3 separate regions of the Mus musculus genome follow, and all the other regions are reported to be linked to region 1. The links are microRNA targets in miRTarBase. Many come from high-throughput screens and were not tested one by one. Region 1 holds a microRNA gene; each other region holds the end of a gene's coding sequence. Distances are from middle to middle.

Region 1 (4,404 bases):
TTATGCAATAGGGGACATTGAATGGTCTCACCCACCAGGTGTAAAAGATTGACAAAGTCAGGAGGATAAGGATTTCAACTTCATGCTTAATTCAGTTAGAGATCATCCTGGTATTCATGTGAGGCCATCCATGTATGTGCATATGTGTTTACTTGTATATGCATTGCATCTGTTGACATGATATACAAAACATAAACAAACGTGTATATGAAAGCACAGACACAGAGAAAAAAATTGCATTCATTTATACGTTTGAATGATATGCGACTTAAAGTTTTAAAGATTATGCAGTACTGGGACAGTGAACGGTTTTACTCACCAGGTGTGAAAGATTGTGGATCAGGAGTTCTAATTCATGCTTTACTTCATGATGACTTAGAGATATGCCTGGGATTCATGTGATGCCCCCTATGTATCCCTATCTGTATCTGTTTATATTTTGTGTGGATTTGAGTATATGTATGTTCCTATCTACACAAATATATACATGTACACAGACACAAACAGAAACACACACACAAACATCAGTGCAACTCATCGATCCATTTGAATGACGTGTGACTTAGAGTTTTAAGATTCCTCATTACTGAATGGGGAGAGGTCTCACTCAGCAGGTGAAGTCCCTTGACAGAGTCAGGTGGATCAGGAGTTCAAATTTGTGCTGAATTTCATGATGAGTTCATGATCAGCATGGGATTCATCTTATGCCCACCAAAAATGTGCATGTGTGTATAGTTGTCTGCATATTCACTTCTCTATATGAATATGCATATACACACATGCACACACATTCATAGGAATGGCCAGAGCTATGTCTCAGGAGGTGAGTACTCTTGCCAGTGTCAGGAGGATGAGGAGTTCAAATTCATGTTTAACTTCATGATGAGTTAGAGTTCAGCATGCGATTCATGTGATGCCCACCAAGAATGTGCATGTGTGTATAGTTGTGTACATAATCACTTCTGTATATGAATATGCATATACTCACACGCAAACATACTCCCATGAATGGCCCGAGCTATTAATCAGTTAGGAGGTGAATACTCTTGCCAGCATCATGAGGATGAGTAGTTCAAATTCATGTTTAACTTTATGATGAGTTAGAGATCAGCCGGGAATTCATGTGATTTTCCCTGTGTTTGTGTTTATGTGTATAGGGAAGTATGCCTGTACATGCGCGTATATGAACATGCATATGTATATATACACACAACTAGGGACACATATATGTGCACACAAACACACATGGCAGTCATCCATTTGATTTATACGTGCTTAGAGTTTCATTGAGTGTATATTCATGGTATAGTGAATAATCTCACTTATCAGATGAAAACCACTTGCCAGAGTTAGGAGTCTCAGGAGTTCAAATTCATGCTTAACTTCATAATGAGTTAGAGATCACCCTGTTTTTGTGTGATGGACCCTAGGTATGCACAAGTGCATATAATTGTGTGTGCACGTACATGTGTGTATATGATCATACTTATAAATACACACACATACAAATGTATTCACACACACAGGCATGCACACTCACACACATAAGAATGACACTCTTTGATCCATTTGAATGATATATGTCTTAGAATTTTGCTGATTATAAAGTAGAAGGACAGTGAAGGTCTCACTCACCAGGTGTAAACAATTGTCAGTGTCAGGAGGATCAGGAGTTCAATTTCATGCTTAACTTCATGAGCAGTTAGAGATCATCCTGGACTAATGTGATGGCCCCTATGTATGTGCCTGTGTGCGTAAGTGCCTGCATGTATATGCGTGTATATTTTATGCATATACATACACACACCTACACACACATGCACACAGACATGCGGGAATGGCCCTCACGGATCCATTTGAATGAAATGTGACCTACTGCTTTGGAGGTTATGTATGACTGGGCCAGGGTGAGGTCTCACAAACCACGGGAAAACCCTTGGTAGAGTCGGGAAGATCAGGAGTGCAAGTTCATGGTAAAGGCATGATGAGTTAGAGGTCATCCTGGCATTCATGTGATTGCCCCTATGTATGTGTGTATGTGTTGATGTGTGTGTACATGTACATGTCTGAATATGATATACATATACATACACGCACACATAAGACACATATGAGCACACAGACACATGGGAATGGCACTCATCAATCCATTTGAGTGATAAGTGACTTAGAGTGAAAATGCTTGCTAGAGTTAAGAGTATCAGGAGTTCAAATTCATACTTATCCTCATGAGAGATCAGCCTGTGATTCCTCCATGTATGTGCATGTGTGTATAGTTGTGTGTGCATGTTCATGTCTATATTTGAATATACATAACATACACACACACGTATAAACGCAAGCACACATACACAGACACAGGAATGGCATTCGCCAATCCCTTTGAATGATAAGTGATGTAGAGTTTTAGAGATTATGCAATAGGGGACATTGAATGGCCTCACTCACCAGGTGTAAAAGATTGACAAAGTCAGGAGGATAAAGATTTCAAATTCATGCTTAATTCAGTTAGAGATCATCCTGGTATTCATGTGATGCCACCCATGTATGTGCATGTGTGTTTACTTGTATGTGCATTGCATGTGTTGACATGATATACATAACATAAACACACGTGTATATGCAAGCACACACACACAGGAAAAAATTGCATTCATTTATACGTTGAATGATATGTGACTTAAAGTTTTAAATATTATGCAGTAGTGGGTCAGTGAATGGTTTTACTCACCTGGTATGAAAGATTGTGGATCAGGAGTTCTAATTCATGCTTTACTTCATGATGACTTAGAGATATGCCTGGGATTCATGTGATGCCCCCTATGTATATCTATCTGTATCTGTTTCTATTGTGTGTGGATTTGAGTATATGGATGTACCTATCTACACAAATATATACATGTACACAGACACAAACAAAACACACACACAAACATCAGTGCAACTCATCGATCCATTTGAATGACGTGTGACTTAGAGTTTTAACATTCCTCAGTACTGAATGGGGACAGGTCTCACTCAGCAGGTGAAGTCCCTTCACAGAGTCAGGTGGATCAGGAGTTCAAATTTGTGCTGAATTTCATGATGAGTTCATGACCAGCATGGGATTCATCTTATGCCCACCAAAAATGTACATGTGTGTATAGTTGTGTGCATATTCACTTCTCTATATGAATATGCATATACACGCATGCACACACATTCATAGGAATGGCCAGAGCTATGTCTCAGTTAGGAGGTGAGTACTCTTGCCAGAGTCAGGAGGATGAGTAGTTCAAATTCATGATTAACTTCATGATGAGTTAGAGTTCAATATGCCATTCATGTGATGCCCACCAAGAATGTGCATGTGTTTATTCTTGTGTACATATTCACTTTTGTATATGAATATGCATATACTCACATGCAAACATACTCTCACTAACGGCCAGATCTTTGTCTCAGTTAGGAGGTGAATACTCTTGCCAGCATCATGAGGATGAGCAGTTCAAATTCATTTAAACTTTATGATGAGTTAGAGATCAGTCCAGAATTCATGTGATTTTCCCTGTGTATGTGTGTATGTGTATAGGGAAGTGTGCCTGTACATGTGTGTATATGAACATGCATACACACACACACACACACACACACACACACCGAGGGACACATACATGTGCACACAAACACACATGTCAGTCAGCCATTTGATTTATACGTGCTTAGAGTTTCATTGAGTGTATATTCATGGTATATGGAAACATCCAACTTATCACATGAAAACCGCTTACCAGAGTTAGGAGTCTTCTCGTGTCAAATTCATGCTTAACTTCATGTAGAGTTAGAGATCACCCTGGATTTGCGTCATGGACCCTAGGTGTGTACATGTGCATATAATTGTGTGTGCACGTACATGTGTGTATATGATCATCCCTATAAATACACACACATACAAATGTATTCACACACACACAGGCATGCACACTCACACACATAAGAATGACACTCATTGATCCATTTGAATGATATATGTCTTAGAATTTTGCTGATTATAAAGTAGAGGGACAGTGAATATTCTCTCTCACCAGGTGTAAACAATTGGCAGTGTCAGGAAGATCAGGAGTTCAATTTCATGCTTAACTTCATGAGCAGTTAGAGATCATCCTGGACTAATGTGATGGCCCCTATGTATGTGCCTGTGTGCGTAAGTGCCTGCATGTATATGCGTGTATATTTTATGCATATACATACACACACCTACACACACATGCACACAGACATGCGGGAATGGCCCTCACGGATCCATTTGAATGAAATGTGACCTACTGCTTTGGAGGTTATGTATGACTGGGCCAGGGTGAGGTCTCACAAACCACGGGAAAACCCTTGGTAGAGTCGGGAAGATCAGGAGTGCAAGTTCATGGT
Region 2 (8,275 bases), 110 Mb from region 1:
AACAATGTCTTATTGATTGTATTTATTAACATTACTAGTGTTGCTTCGTTAAATTGGAAATTGTCCTTTCTTTTTTAAATATAACTGGTAAAAAGAAAGGGCCAGCCTGGTTTACAGAGTGAGTTCCAGGACAGCCAAGGCTACACAGAGAAACCCTATCTCGAGAAAACCCAAGCCATAAGAGAATTACAAACTGAAGCTAGCCATGGTGACACACTCCCAGCACTGGAGTGGCAGAGGCTGGACCACTGTGAGTTTGAAGCCAGCCTGATCTACAGAGCTCGTTGCTAGTTTTAGTACAGCCAGCCAGGGCTACATATCAAGACCCTCTCTTAAAAAGATAGAGGGGATGGGGATCAGAGGGTTGCAAAACCTGGAAACAATTATTTTTGAAACAAGGTCTTATATAGGCTGTCTTCAAATCTGCTGTATAGTTGAAGCTGATAAAAACTGGACATTGGACTTTGCACTTACCTCTACAGTAATATATCTCAGTCTCCTGCAAGTGATTTAAAAATAGAACAAAGAACAACAACAAAAAGATGAGCTGAGTAATGACTTTGAAGATTTTATTAATGCAGATTCAGAAAAATTATGTGATATTTTCAATGTAATGTTTATCCCTGGTGTCTTGTCAGTTATCTGAACCAGTATAAGGTTGTGTTTAGGGAAGTCGCTTTATGTGAGATGGTTATTATCAACCACTGAAGGTTATCCTCCTCTTCCTCCCCTCCTCCTCCGTCCTTCTCCTTTTTCTTCCTTTTTTGAGATAGAGCTCAATATGTAGTGCTGACTGGCTTAAAACTCACTCTGTAGACCAGGCTGATCTCAAAGTCACAGAGAGCCTCCTGCCTCTGCCTCCCAAATGCTGGGAATCAAGATGTGCCATTGAGTTAGATTTTAGTTATCATAAATATGTGTCTTTCCATTTTTTTTTTCTTTAAGATCTTTTGGGTCTTTTGAGGCAGTGTTTTTCTATGTAGCCCTGGCTGTAGCCTAGGCTGGCCTTGGACTCACAGAGATCCACCTGCCTCTGACTCCTGATTGCTGGGATTAAAGATGAATACCATGATGCCTAACTTATTCCATTTTTCTGTTTGTGTGACAGCCTAGGTTTTGCCCTAAGTAAAAGGGAAGAACCTTTTTTACTACTGATAATTCCATTAAAAGGTTAATTATATTCATTAGATTTGCTTATTTCAAATTAACAGTCCTAATTAAAGGAAAAGAAATGAAACTACTAGAGAAGAAAAGTTACTATTTTTCTCCCTGTATTACTACTTTTCTGTCCCAGAATTCCTCACAGAAGCAACTTAGAAAGAGGTTTGAAATACATCGAACATGGTAGGGAAATCCCTGTGGCTGGGGCAATGGGGCAACTCCCATCTGTGGTGGCAACAACTTGCAGCATGGCTTCTTCACATCATAATGGATTAGGGATTGGAGAACACCTTCAAGGTCTGTCCCTAGTGATCTACATCTACCAGTGCCCCAAAACTCCAATAAGTACTCAAACAGCGTCACCCAATAGGGACCAAGTGTTCAAACACAGGAGCCTGTGGGATAAATTTACATTCAAAATATAACACTCTCTTTCAGATATGTGGTACATATGTTGGATCTGGCTGTGACTTTCATTGAGAAATTTGAAACCCATCTTGAAACAGTTAAAAATAGCCCTCATTTAGACGCAAACCTAAAGCAAATGGTGAGTATCATTAATATAGCTGCTCTCTGTTTTTTGTCTTGGTTTTATCTTTTAGATAGTCTCATGTAGCTCAGGCTAGCCTCAGGCTCCTAAGGAGAAATGTATTTCATCACGACACTGTCATATGAATATGTGATTAACCTTTGCTCTAGTGGGTTCTCCTCTGGGGCTGTCCTCTCTCATCTTCTCCATCCCGCTCTCCTAGCCCTCTCGCCTCCTCCAGATAAAGGCGCTTTTTGTTTGTATGTCACATGGACTGTTACTCTTTCACTCTCACCTCCAGCCCTTCATGTCTCTTCCTCTTCGCAGTCTCCTGCAGAAACACAGACCATTCAAATATAGAATATACATACAAGACAAGCCTTACCATGTTTGTCTTTCTTCACTTGGCTTATTTCACTTTGAGTTAGTCATTATTAAAATCATGAAACATAAAAAAAGACAAAGATTTTCTTAGCCATGGTGCCCTGTACCTATAATTGTTATTAATCGTAACAGCCAGGGCTGTTACACAGAGAAACCCCGTCTTTAAAAACCAAAATTTAAGAAAAAGATTTATTTATGTATGTATGTATTTATTTAGGCAGGTTCTTACTTTTTAGCATAGAGTGACCATGCATTCACTATATGATTCAGGCAGGCCTTGAGTTCAAAGTGCTCCTGGTTCAACCTCCAATAGACTGAGAACTTTAGACTTTACTCTCTGAATACTGGGGAGCCATTGCATTTTTTGTTGGTAGTGAAGGTTGTGGTTTTTACTTTTGTTTTTTATTTTAAAATGTGTGTATGTTTGTACACTCACATTGCAGGGAGGGAGGGAGGAGAGAGAATCACACCTAGGTGCTCCAGAAGAGCAGCAAGTATACTCTTACAGCCAAGCTGTCGCTCCAGCACTAAAGGACTAGAAAAAGATCCAATGCTAATTTTTGAAGTATTTATTTCTGTAATCAATGACAGGTTTTTTTCTATTTTTCTTTATTTCAAATGTTACAGAGCAAAGCTTTAGCCAAGATGGATATTTTGGTGAACAAGACAGAAGAACTGGCAGAGAATATACTCAAGTGGCGAGAACTACAAACAGAAATTTCCTTGTATATCCCCAAAATGCTAACTGAAGAACGCCATCTTCATGAACTTGACATAGTGCCTCCTTTACCTTTTTTTCCTAAGGCTCACACCGAAACCTCCAGGGCCAAGTGATGTCATCTTTACTTTGGATTAATTACATGTAGTCAAAGAAGTCCGTTTCTAGATTGTTGTGACAGGGATATTGATAGTTTTTCTTGCTAGCAATATTAATGGAATAGTGGAGCCAGAAAGATGTCTCAGTGGGAAAAAGCTCCTACTTCAAGCCTTCCAGCCTGAGTTCAGTCCCTGGGATCCACATTAGCAGAAGGGGATCACTGATTCCCACAGATACTCGATCCTATGGTGTCCACACTTGTGTCATCATATGTATGTGCCTGTACACACAAAAATAGAAAAATGAAAGTGTGTGTGTGTGTGTGTGTGTGTGTATGTATGTATGTATGTATGTGCACGCGCACATGAGAGAGCGAGCACATTGGAGTACATATGGCTTCACTTCTTTACATGTTTTCACTCTCTTTCTTCAGTGAAGCTTAAAAATGATAACTGTGGGGCTGGTGGGTTGGCTCAGGGGATAAGAGCACTGGCCACTCTACCACAGGTCCTGAGTTCAATTCCCAGCAACCACAAGGTTGCTCACCACCATCTATAAGGGGGTCTGATGCCCTCTTCTGGCCTGCAGATGTATGTGCAGCAGAGCACTCACATTGAATTAAAATTGTTTTACTAACAACAAAAAAGATTAACTATATGCATGATAGTTTATTATAAGTGAGTTGAACATTCTTCATACAGAAGATTGTGTGCTATGATTCTGCATTACATCTTTTAAAACCATTTCTGAATTGAATGTTCCTGAATCTGAAACTGTCGTGATTATTCCTGTGAGATTGTAGATTAGCTACATACCAGGACTGTAACCCTTTGAAGACTTCGTAAAGTGGTGGTTCCTTGGCTGACCCATCTAGAAACTTATGTAATAAGAGGCTGAGAAGGGCTCAGTTTGAACAGACTGTACAGTGTAGTTTGTGTGGGATACTTTCTTTCCTTCTGAGAGCCTAGGATGTTGGTCCGTACCAAGTAGAAAGTACCTTTGGTACTGGTCCCTGGCATTGCAGAGCACCTCGTCCCTAACAGTTTTGATGGTAGATAGCATTCAACAAATGTAACAAAGCCGGGTGTGGTGGCGCGAGCCTTTAATCCCAGCACTCTGGAGGCAGAGGCAGGCGGATTTCTGAGTTCGAGGCCAGCCTGGTCTACAAAGTGAGTTCCAGGACAGCCAGGGCTACACAGAGAAACACTGTCTCGAAAAAACAAAACAAAACAAAAAAAACCATGTAACAGCTGAGTTGCTGTACTGAGTCACTGCTGTGAGTGATGACACCAAGTCTCATAACTCCTCTTGGCAGATAGATCACTCACTGAACCTGGCTGTGTTAGGAAATAAACGCTGAGGACCAACAGAGAAGAAACGGAGTCTTCGTGTAAAAGTTTAGAATTCTTTGTTTTGGTACTTCCTATATGTAGCCAAGGCAGAACTTGAACTCACTATGTTTCCCAGGGTGGTCTCAAACACATGATTTTCCTTGCCTCTGCCGCCCTAGTGCTGGAATCACAGACATGTGGTATCATATCTGGCTAAAGTTTAGAGGTTTGTAATGGAAAATACTAATATATTTTACCTACTTAGGGTTATTTTTATTTTATTATTTTAGGGTTATTCTTAAGATGGAGGCAAGTATACTTAAAAGTAGAGATTGTAACAATTGTCTCAAGATTTTCTCACTCATCAGTCCTGTAAGTACTTCGCCTTATGTTTAAGCTAGGATCTGAGTTCCTTTCAAACGTGTGCATTAGGATTTCCTTACTGTTTTATTCTGCACTGTGGGAGTGTAGCAAACCTGCTCATCATGCTCTTAATACAAGACTTGGTGCATAGTAAAGTAGATGTTCACAAGGAAGCAGGGTCTTTACCCTACCCCCAACCTCCAAAAGGGCCCTGCTAAAACAATAGATTATTGTCTTGAAAGTCTCCCGCTTTTACAAATGTGCCATATAAGAGTGGTGTTAAAGTTGGGTGTGGTGACGCACGCCTTTAATCCCAGCACTTGGGTGGCAAAGGCAGGCAGATTTCTGAGTTCGAGGCCAGCCTGGTCTACAAAGTGAGTTCCAGGACAGCCAGGGCTATACAGAGAAACCCTGACTCCAAAACAAACAAACAAACAAAAAAACCAGAGAAACCCTGTCTTCAAAAACCAAAAAAAAAAAAAAGTGGTGTTAAGGTTTTGAACATCACCTAGCCAAGTTAGTAAAATCTTTATTTGTATTTCATCTCAATTTTTTTAACTATTCATTTTCCTTGTATGAATTCTTGTGTGTTTTATGTGTAAATATATTCATTATTTTGACACTATCAATATTCTTTGTGGTTTTGTAATTTTTACTTTTATTAATGACTCAAGCTGTAAAAATAAACTAATTTCAACTAAATGTGGCTCCAATATGAATCCCAAGCAACAGAAAAAAAAATACTCTTAGCTTAACACATACAACATAGAAGCATTCGAGCTGTCTGGCTCACAAAAGCTTAAGATAATTTAAACTTAAATTCTAACATAGAGAGAAAAGCTAATTTTATATCAGTGTGGTCAATAAGTAGTGAGTTTGTTTATAGAAGACAGTTACTCGGGATGGAGAGAGAATTGGATTCAACAATCCTCTGGCCTCTGCTCGCCAAATATTGAGAGTACAGGCATATGTCACTGTGTCTGGCTTGAACAAGTGTTTTTATTCTTGTGAAACTAGAGGGCAGTTCTAAGGACAGGCAAGCTACAGATATCTATAGTTTCATGGAAGAAGAAGATGGATAAGAAGAGAAAGCTGAGACTGGTGAGATGACTCAGCGAGTAAGAGCATTGACTGCTCTTCTGAAGGTCCTGAGTTCAAATCCCAGCAATCACTTGGTGGCTCACAACCATCTGTAATGAGATCTGACTCCCTCTTCTGGAGTGTCTGAGGACAGCTACAGTGTACTTACATGTAATAAATAAATCTTAAAAAAAAAAATAAGTCTTTGGGATGGAGCAATCAGGGACTGAGCGAGGGGGGTTGACCAGAGCAAACAGAAATCCTAAAAATTCAATTCCCAACAACCACATGAAGGCTCACTACCATCTGTACAGCTACAGTGTGCTCACATCCATAGATAAATCTTTTTTTTTCTTAAAGATTTATTTATTGGTTATATGTAAGTACACTGTAGCTGTCTTCAGACACTCCAGAAGAGGGAGTCAGATCTCGTTACGGATGGTTGTGAGCCACCATGTGGTTGCTGGGATTTCAACTCCGGACCTTCGGAAGAGCAGTCGGGTGCTTTTACCCACTGAGCCATCTCACTAGCCCAAATCTTTTTTTTTAATTTTTTTAAAAGATTTATTTATTATTATAAATACACTGGGGCTGGTGAGATGGCTCAGTGGGTAAGAGCACCCGACAGTTCTTCCGAAGGTCCAGAGTTCAAATCCCAGCAACCACATGGTGGCTCACAACCATCTGTAACGAGATCTGACGCCCTCTTCTGGAGTATCTGAAGACAGCTACAGTGTACTTACATATAATAAATAAATAAATCTTTGAAAAAAAAATACACTGTAGTTGTCTTCAGGCACACCAGAAAAGGGGTCAGATCTCATTACAGATGGTTGTGAGTCACCATGTGGTTGCTGGGATTTGAACTCAGGACCTCTGGAAGAGCAGTCAGTGCTCTTAACCACTGAGCCATCTTTCCAGCCTCATAGATAAATCTTAAAAAAAAAAAAAAAGAAGCTACGAGTTAGCAAGAACACACAGGCAGGAGCTGAGGAGAAAGCTCAGTGGGCAAAAGTTCACAAGCAAGGGTAAGGACTTGAGTTCAAATCCCCAGAAGCCACATAAATGGGAGGCAAAAGAAAGGCCAGCTAGTTCCTATACAAAGCTGCAGACAAGAGATCCTGTTAGAGGTGAGAACTAACACCCAAATTTGCCCTCTGACCTCCTCACTTGACCACAGTCCTATACATACAGAAATAAATGAGGAAGCAGGTCCAGCAGGGGAAGTCTTTTGAGTGGCTTCTGGGCTTGGAGGTGGGAATGTCAGGCTTAGCCATGAGGGTTTGATCAAACTTTTTTTTTCTTTCTGAGACAATTTCTCTGTGTAACAGCCCTGCCTAAAACTTGCTTTGTAGACCAGGCTGGCCTCAAACTCAGAGATCCACCACCTGCCTCTGCCTCCCAAGTGCTGCAATTAAAGACATGTGCCACCACCACTTGGCCTTGATCAAATTATAAAGTTTGATTTCTACATGTAGATAATAAAAAAAAATCAGGAATGTATTTTCTACTTATATTAGAAGAGGTATGTGAGATTTGTAAATGTGATTCCAGAATAACTATGCCAATTTGTAGACTATTTGGGATCACTCTTCTTGTCTTTTGTGGCTCTTTACTTATTTTTCTGGCCTGTGACTTCAGCCCTCAGCTCTCATTTGTCCTTTTGGAGTTTCAGTGAAATCAGGAGGTTTGAGGAACAAGAGAATCTTAAGAAAAATTTTGATTTAAATCATATGGGGAGATGGTGGGGAAGAAGCCATTATATAGTTGATTTTGTAATGACTCAGAGAAGTCAATACATGTGAGATTTTCTCAGATGTTTGTAAAACAAATGAATTTATATAAAAGATGCTACAGAGATGGCTGAGCAGTTAAGAGCACTGGCTGCTCTTCCAGAAGATCCAAGTTTGAATCCCAGGTTCAGTCCCAGGGGAATCCATTGGCCTACTGACAAGGTGTACAGACCTTCCTTACATTAAGGCAAAAACATTCGTCCACATAAAGAAAATGAAAGGAAAAAGTTTATGAGGCCCAGGATGGTGGCACACACCTTTAATTGTAGCAGAGGCTACAATTAATGAAGCAGGCAGGTGGATGTCTTGTGAGTTTGAGGCTCCATAGTCCACATACCAAGTTTCAGTTTCAGCACAGTCAGGGTTGTATAGAGGATTCTATCTCAAAAACAAAGTTTTAAATGGGATTTGGGGAGATGATTCTTGTCAGTAAAGTGCTTGCCACAAAAGCATGAGGGCTTGAAATCAGATTTTTCAGCCAGGCACACACCTGTAATTCTAGTGTTAGGGAAGCAGACCCAGGAGGAGCTCTGAGACTGGCTGGCCAGCCTGCCTAGCCAACTGGTGAGCTTCAGATATAGTGAGAGGGTTTGTCTCAAAAAATACAGTGATGAGCAACTAAGGAAGATACTCCGTGTCTTGTGCCTACCTCTGGTCGCCATGTCCTGAGCTCACATGCACAAACATGAATACGTGCATGTACACAAATGTAAAAAAAAAAAAAAAGGTTCACTCTTAAACTCTTACCTCTCTTATTCTCATCTCTAGCTCTCCTTCCCCTCCCTTCGCCCCTCTCTCCACATGGCCATGGCAAAAA
Region 3 (8,275 bases), not on the chromosome of region 1:
TGCATTAATAACTAACAGTCTGCTCATGAGTTCTTTTACTCAATTCCAAAACTCTAACTGATTGTTTGTTTTTTTATTTCCAGGATACAGAGTATGATCCCCACCAGAAATTCCAGAACAGGCCCACCATGACCTGTCACACTTCATCCCGCTCTGTCCCAAACAACAAAAGGAAGGCTGAAAGAATGCGGGTAAGTCCTCATAACAGGTATTCACTAACACAGTAACCAAACCTTCAGGAATGTGCAGACAGAGCAAGCAGCACAAGACAGGCATACCCTATAGCTAATAAAGTACATGTAAAATAAGAGAGTAACTTTAAAGCATAGTCATGAATTGGTCATGAATCATTCCCTATTTTAATAACAGCTTTATCATTAGGATTGAACCTTTTATTATGGAAGAAACTTTGAATTGATTGGAATTTTCATGGTTAAATTTACTCTCCCATGCAGACTTTAAAAAAAAAAGGGGGGGGGGAACTAGAGTTGTAATTTTTACTATTACTAGAGTACTTCCTTGGGAAGCTTTGCACACTACTAATCATGACATAAACTCTTCTTTTTTTGTTGTTGTTTTTTTGTTTTCTGTTTTTTCGAGACAGGGTTTCTCTGTGTAGCCCTGGCTGTCCTGGAACTCACTCTGTAGACCCGGCTGGCCTCGAACTCAGAAATCTGCCTGCCTCTGCCTCCCAAGTGCTGGGATTAAAGGCGTGTGCCACCACGTATAAACTCGTCTTGACTTGGAAGATGTTACTTGTACTTCTGCTCTTCTGCTTACTTCTTCACTCTTACCTGACACCATTCTCTAGGGGCTTTACATGCAGGTCCAGTAAAATACTATTCGTGTTTTATGGGGTATAGATATGTATTAGGCAGGCAGTGCTAGTGTGTGTGTGTGCGTGTGTGTGTGTGTGTGTGTGTTACTATATATAGGCTGCTTATCTGATGGCCTGCTCATAACCAATCTCAGCATAATTTAAAGTAATTATCATAATATATGTGCACATGGCACACATATAATCTGGTCTCCCTGATGACTTGCTAGACCAGCATTCTGCATATCTGCTAGGAACATAGCAATTGTAAAGCATAAGAAAAGGTAGAGGAAGAGAAAGTGCCTCCTAAGATCTGCTCCATGGCTAGACACTTCACAAACTAGTTCAGTATTGCTTCAACCAACCATCAATACTTCACAAGCTCTGAATACTCAACTAGTTATCACATACAATTCAAACCCCCAATTATACCCTTATATTAACGTGATGCTCAATTGTTTTTGCTTAGCCTGTGGTGCTTCTGAATGTGACAATTAGAATGCTGGCTGCCTGGAAAAACCTTCTGCACCATGTAGAAAACAACATGGCTGATCTCGATGGAACTCCTTATGTTATCATATCAAAAGTTAAGTTGATTGACAGACAAATCAAAAAACTCACTAAAAATCTGCAGAACATTAAGACTATACTCAGCCAGGTAAGTGGTCTCTTTTAAATCTTATGGCTTTTGTGTTTTATGATAGATGTAGCATCTATAATGAAAACTACAGAGTGAGTTCCAGGACAGCCAGGGCTAAACTCTGTCTCGAAAAATAAAACAAACGAAAAGGAAAGGAAAGGAAAGGAAAGGAAAGGAAAGGAAAGGAAAGGAAAGGAAAGGAAAAAAGAAAACAAACCTGGGACTGATTCTCTGCCTGCCACAGCGAAATTTAGCCAGGTAATCTCATAAACAATCTAGGGACTAATAGGACTGTGGCAGCTCAAAAGTGTTTCCACTCAGCACCCCACAACACAGAGCTCTCCTGATGCATTAATGATTGCTAGAAATAGCATGGACAGTGCCTTTCCTGTGCAGTCTAAGTATCCCGACGATTTCACCACAGTCATCCATACATTAGAAGAATTTTAACCCACCAGGTGCAATCCTCATCAGTTCTGTAGCTTTGTGTCCATAAATTATGGAAAACGAATATTGTTGAAATAGAGGAAAGCAAAATTGTCAATTAGCCGGGTGGTGGTGGTGCAGACCTTTAATCCCAGCACTTGGGAGGCAGAGGCAGGGGCAGGCGGATTTCTGAGTTCGAGGCCAGCCTGGTCTACAAAGTGAGTTCCAGGACAGCCAGGGCTACACAGAGAGACCCTGTCTCAAAAAACAAAAACAAAACCAAAAACCAAAAAAAAAAAAAAAAAAAAGAGTAGTAAACTACAAATGGCACCTCAGGGATGACATGGAAAACATGGAAGCCTCCTCACAAGAGAACTGATTATAGATTCTTCCATATCCCTTGGTCAAAACCATGTCCATAGTCAAGAAGCAATTCTGTCTCCTCCTAGAATGATATATTTCATCTTGGATCAACTATATTACAAAAATATATGCATAGTTCTGTCTAGTTTTAAGATAACTAACAAATTGGTAGTACCCTAGTCTACATACATGAAACACGTGTATTTCTTTAAGATTTATATTCATAATATTCTTCAAAATATCATTCAAATTGTTTAAATAATGAAGCTCAATAAATATTAATAATGTGAATAATAACTGGCTGACTTTTATTTGGTAAATAGGTTAATCCTGACCTTAAGAAAAATGAAGACTACCCTGCCTGGTCAGGAGAGCCATATGTACAGCAATCAAAAAGGAGAGTTCAACTTTTTGGTTTGCATAGTTTGTTTTTCTGCTTGAACAATGATGCACAGAAGGTTTCTGATTTCATCAGTATCCTGAGAGACCAAATTGTGCCTAATCAATGAAAAGCTCTCATCCTTCCTATCTATTTCTGGGGCAGTCCATACTGATCCAATCCTTAAAAAGTTCTTTAAGTTTTATAATATTTATGTGTGATTAAATCTAAAGGGTCACTTCTTTTCAAATTTTTATGTTTAATTAAATATAATTACACCACTTCTCCTTCCCTCTACCCACTGCTTGCTACCCATTGTCCCCTGACTCATTTTACTCTTTATAAAATGAATTTTTATTAATTATAATTCCACATGCATAATGTATTATTGCTATGTGTATGTATAAATAAATGAATAAATATATAAATGTAGCCCGTCTTTATTGTTGCTTTATATATTGCTTTCTTTATTGTATTCTTTTTAGGGTTGACAACATAATATTGGAGAACCATTTTTCCCATTTCTTTCTTCATTTCACCCACATACTGATATTCCCTCTCTAGTACTCCTCTCCATCCCACCATAGCCTCTTTGATCTTTCCAGTTTAATGTAGTTGTTCCAGGTAATAAACTCACTTCTGAAATTTGAAGCTAAGTACCATAGATGGGAGATAAGATACAGTGTTTGTCTTTCTGAGTTTGGGTTACGTCACTGACACTTTAGAAATGTCAGTGTCTAACAAACTTAATTTTTCATCATTTCTTTTGTTCATTTAACAATAAAAAATTAAACCTGTTCAAATTTGTTACCAAAAATAGTTTTTAAAAGATGATTCAATTTCACTTAGAATCATAATAAGTTAATATAAGTTATTATAATCAAGGTTTTGATCCTACAAAATAAACTGAAATCTCAAGTATTTTTATGAAAGCCAGCCATTGACTATGAACCATTTTCACAGAAAAATAACGAAAATGCAAATATTATAAAGTGTCTATCTTCAAATACCATAAATAGAATAAAGAAAAAGAAAAGATCTACTGAATGGGCTTAACTAGAATGCAAGATATGGAGCACAGCATTGGAATCTGAAAGATCAATACAAATTATTCCATCTGAAAATTACAATAACATACTAAAAAAATTGCAGCAGACTGAATAGTCAAACAAGAAAATATTCGACATTCACACTACTGTGCTTCAAAAGGGAAAAAATTATATATATACATATTTATAGTGTTGCCTGACCACTCAAAGACGGGAAAGCTGAAAATCTTTTAACTTTAGTAGAAGTTAAAACCTTAAAGATTCAAAACTCTTTGCGACTCTAGTTAGGGTAAATCCAGTGGTGTCCGCACATATGATAAACACAGTCAAATTTCATGAAAAAATTCAATTACTTAAAATAGACATGAGGGGATGTTGCCTTACCCACACAAAGACAAAAAAAAAAGCAAAACAAAAAAACAAATATCTGTGTATCTGTTCTAAATCCATGACATCTATAATCAATTAAGTAGCATGCACTAAAAGAAAAAGTCTATTATAAATATGCCTAGATAGACTATCTTTCTGAAATGAAATAAACAATTTCACAAACATAAGGCTTCTTTGGCAGTATTAAACCTAACTGAAAGAACTCATGTATGCTAAGATATCACTGTGGAATTCAACTTTTGCCATCAGCTGACCTATTCTTAAGAATTGCTCAAAGAAACAATAGGAAAAAAAGATTTTATCCACACAGAAAAGATAGATTCTCTGCAGTATTCTATCAGATAGTAAAAGAACAGAGAGAGTAAATGGTTCTCACTGTATTCCATAAAACAGAAAGGAAATAAACTCTCTAGAACTCACTCTATGAAAACAGTATTATCCTATTACCAAAGTCATATAAAGACACAACAAAAAGAAAAAAACTATAGAATTTTTGATAACGATGTAACATGGAGATTAAGCAGCTCATTAATGAATGATGAGTGGGTCAAGGAGAAAATTTAAAAAAAAAATCCTGGAATTAAATGAAAATGAAAATTCAATGCAACAAAACCTGATATTATTGATAGTTCATTGATGAGATCTTAGCATTTGAACTTCTTTTGTTAGTTCTAGGTCTGATATAGACCTATTAGACTGGCACAGAAGAGAACGTGTACAGGCAACTTGGAATTAGAAGTTAGATCTAACTTGAATAGAATGATGTCAGGTGGACAGAGGAGAGTGGGTTGATATATAAGATTTGCCTCCTGGTCCAAGCCTAGAGTGTGAGGGTAGATCTGGCTAGGTGAAAAGGTCACATGTGGTTTCAGAGGGGCCTATGGACTAGGTGATGGGTAGATAAGGTCCTGCAAAAGCCTAGGCATCATTTAGAGCCCAGTCAAGAGAGGCCAGAATAGGCCCAGGCACTAGATGCGTGACCCTGGCTATATATGGCAGTTTGAGGAAGGCAAGTAGATGGGAGCATCAAGAATACATACCATACTATACCCTAGAGAACGATGTAGGGTATATAGCAAGGGAGATAGTTTGGATGCAATCTAGAAGTAACATGTGCTGTTAATAGGTAGTTTAAAACATGAAAACAAAAATAATTGAAAATTCTAAAATCTTGACTTATTTACCCACATGTCCCTCAACTGAAGAATGGATACAGAAAATGTGGCTCACTTACACAATGGACTAATATGCAGCTATTAAAAATAACGACATCACTGAGCCACCTTGGGCGCGAACTCGGCAGATGGTCCCACCATATCAAGAGGACTGTCCACACCATAGGCACCCTAGTATACCCAGGATCTTGGGATCACTGGTGAGTGGAATGCAACATCTGTTCCAAAACAACCGGGAGGGACTTGTGCCAGCAGGTACAAAAATACAGGAAACCTAACCAACCAGCACTTGGGGTTCATTCCAGTAGGGACCAGCCCTGGGCCACCTTGGCCACAAACTGTATAGATGGTCCCACTGTCCCCAGAGGACTCTCCATGCCATAGGTGCCCTAGCATGCCCAGGATCTTAGAAACACTGAAGAGAGTCTGCCTCCAGAGAAGGTTCTGACTGCGGAACTAAGGTAAGACAGCCATCTTGTATACTGAGTCTTTAAGAGACCAGTCCACGCAGGGGAGCGCACAGGCCACAGAAGCAACAGACAGGGTCCCTTCATGCCTTCATCCTCAGCCAGGAGGCAGAGCTGAGACCCAGACCTCTGGGCACCAGAGGAAAGTTGGCCTCCAGGGAGGTCTCTGACTAGGGGACTCAGGTGAGAGCGCCATCTCCTTTACCGGGTTTCTCAGAGACCAATCCAAGCAGAAGAGCATGCTGGCCGCAGAAGCAACAGAGATTCTGGACAGGGTCCCTTCGGGCCTTCATCTTCAGCTAGGGGGCAGATCTGAAAACCAGACCTCTGTGCACCTTCCCTGCAAAAGGAGGGTTTGACCACAGAAAGTGTTCTGGCCACTGGGACTCAGGAGAGAGTTGTACTCCCAGGAGTGCTGACAGAGGCTAACAGAATCACAGGAGGAACAAGCTCCAGCCAGAGACAGCTAGAACATATAACACCAGAGATTATCAGATGGGGAAAGGCAAACATAAGAATCTTACTAACAGAAACCAAGATTACCCAGCATCAAAAAAAAGTAGTACTCCCACCACACAGCAAGTCCTGGATACCCCAACATACCTGAAAAGCAAGATTCAGATTTAAAATCATATCTCATGATGCTGGCAGAGGATTTTAAGAAGGGCATTAATAACTCAAAGGAATACAGGGGAACACAACTAAACAGGTAGAAGGCCTTAAAGAGAAAACACAAACCAATAGACTTAAAGACTTATAGAAAAACATAACCAATCAGGTGATGGAATTGAATAAAACCATCCAAGATCTAAAAATGGAAATAGAAAAAAATAAAGAAAACCCAAAGGGAGACAATTCTGGAGATAGAAATCCTAGGAAAGAAATCAGAAACCATGAATGTGAGCATCAGCAACAGAATACCAGAGATGGAAGAGAGAATCAAAGAAAATGCAAAAATCCAAAAAGATCCTAACCCAAAACATCCAGGAAATCCAAGACACAATAAGAAGACCAAAACTAAGTATAATAGGTATAGATGAGAATCAAGACTTTCAACCTAAAGGACCAGTAAATATCTTCAACAAAATTATAGAAAAAAACTTCCCTAACCTAAAGAAAGAGATTCCCATGAACATACAAGAAGTCTACAGAACTACAAATAGATTGGACCAGAAAAGAAATTCATCCCAACACATAATAATCAGAACAACAAAACACTAAATAAAGATAGAATATTAAAAGCAGAAAGGGAAAAAAGGTCAAGTAACATATAAAGGAAGACCTATTAGAATTACACCAGACTTCTCATCAGAGATTATGAAAGCCAAAAGATCCTGGACAGATGTTATACAGACCCTAAGAGAACACAAATGTTAGCTACTATACCCACCAATACACTCAATTACAATAGACGAAGAAAGCAAAGTAATCCATGACAAAACCAAATTCACACAATATCTTTCCAGGAATCCAGCACTAAAAAGGATAATAAAAAGAAAACTCCAACACAATAAGGAAAACGCTGCCCTAGAAAAAGCAAGAAAGTAATCCTTCAACAAACCTAAAGGAAGATAGCCGCAAGAACAGAATTCCAACTCTAACAACAAAAATAACAGGAAGTAACAATTACTATTTCTTAATATCTCTTACTATCAATGGACTCAATTCCCCATTAAAAAGACACAGGCTAACAGAATGGCTACATAAACAGGACCCAACTTATTGCTGGATACAGGAGACCCACCTCAGGGACAAAGACAGATACTGCCTCAGAGTAAAAGATGCTAAAACAATTTTCCAAGCAATTGGTCCAAAGAAACAAGCTGCAGTAGCCATTCTAATACCGAATAAAATCTACTTCCAACCCAAAATTATCAAAAAAAGACAAGGAGGGGCACTTCATAATCAGCAAAGGTAAAATCTTCCAAGATGAACTCTCAATTCTGAATATCTATGTTCCAAAGACAACACCATTCACATTCATTAAGGAAATTATTGTAAAGCTCAAAGCACACATTGCAATTAACACAATAGTTGGAGACTTCAATACCCCACTCCCATCAATGGACAGATTCTGGAAACTAATAGAAGTTATGAAACAAATGGATTTAATAGATATCTACAGAACATTTTATCCTAAAAGAAAAGGATATACATTCTTCTCAGCACCTCATGGTACCTTCTCCAAAATTGACTATATAATTGGTGACAAAACAGGCCTCAACAAATACAAGAAGATTGAAATTATCCCATGCATCCTATCTGATCACTATGGACTAAGGCTGATCTTCAATAACAACATAAATGATAAAAAGCCAATATTCACATGGAAACTGAACAACACTCTACTCAATGATAACTTGGTCAAGGAAAAAATAAGGAAAGAAATTAAAGACTTTTTAGAGGTTAATGAAAATGAACCCACAACATACCCAAACTTATGAGACACATTGGAAGCAGTCCTAAGAGGAAAACTCATAGCTCTGAGTGCTGCAAAAGAGAGAGAGAGAGAGAGAGAGAGAGAGAGAGAGAGAGAGAGAGAGAGAGAGAGAATACACTAGCAGCTTAA

What was found. The annotated mature microRNA mmu-miR-466a-3p reads UAUACAUACACGCACACAUAAGA and lies in region 1 at 2,083-2,105, shown strand. An mRNA with a match to its seed (bases 2 to 7 or 8) in the 3' UTR can be bound and repressed. Matches are read on the target gene's strand: a 7mer-m8 pairs with bases 2 to 8, a 7mer-A1 pairs with bases 2 to 7 and ends in A, and an 8mer does both.
Region 2: miRTarBase lists Haus2 as a target of mmu-miR-466a-3p. Seed matches in the 3' UTR shown: 7mer-m8 at 3,161-3,167, 7mer-m8 at 3,225-3,231, 7mer-m8 at 3,229-3,235, 7mer-m8 at 3,233-3,239 and 7mer-m8 at 3,237-3,243.
Region 3: miRTarBase lists Prl5a1 as a target of mmu-miR-466a-3p. Seed matches in the 3' UTR shown: 8mer at 3,024-3,031.

The regions. Positions count from the first base shown.
Region 1 is chr2:10,496,652-10,501,055 of GRCm38, forward strand. It overlaps Mir466b-2 (microRNA 466b-2), which reads left to right and starts at 2,034; the gene lies at 2,034-2,115. All of the region lies in intron 10 of Sfmbt2 (Scm-like with four mbt domains 2), which reads left to right. Mir467a-9 (microRNA 467a-9) reads left to right here and starts at 1,742; the gene lies at 1,742-1,824. Mir669a-10 (microRNA 669a-10) reads left to right here and starts at 2,260; the gene lies at 2,260-2,346.
Region 2 is chr2:120,616,274-120,624,548 of GRCm38, forward strand. Haus2 (HAUS augmin-like complex, subunit 2) reads left to right here. Exons shown (of 6, transcript NM_025475.3): 5 at 1,600-1,708; 6 at 2,702-5,287. The coding sequence ends at 2,908. Among named protein-coding and RNA genes, the nearest start is that of Stard9, 8.7 kb to the right of the region's middle.
Region 3 is chr13:28,148,548-28,156,822 of GRCm38, forward strand. It overlaps Prl5a1 (prolactin family 5, subfamily a, member 1), which reads left to right. Exons shown (of 5, transcript NM_023746.4): 3 at 84-191; 4 at 1,287-1,475; 5 at 2,570-3,048. The coding sequence ends at 2,755. Among named protein-coding and RNA genes, the nearest start is that of Prl5a1, 10 kb to the left of the region's middle.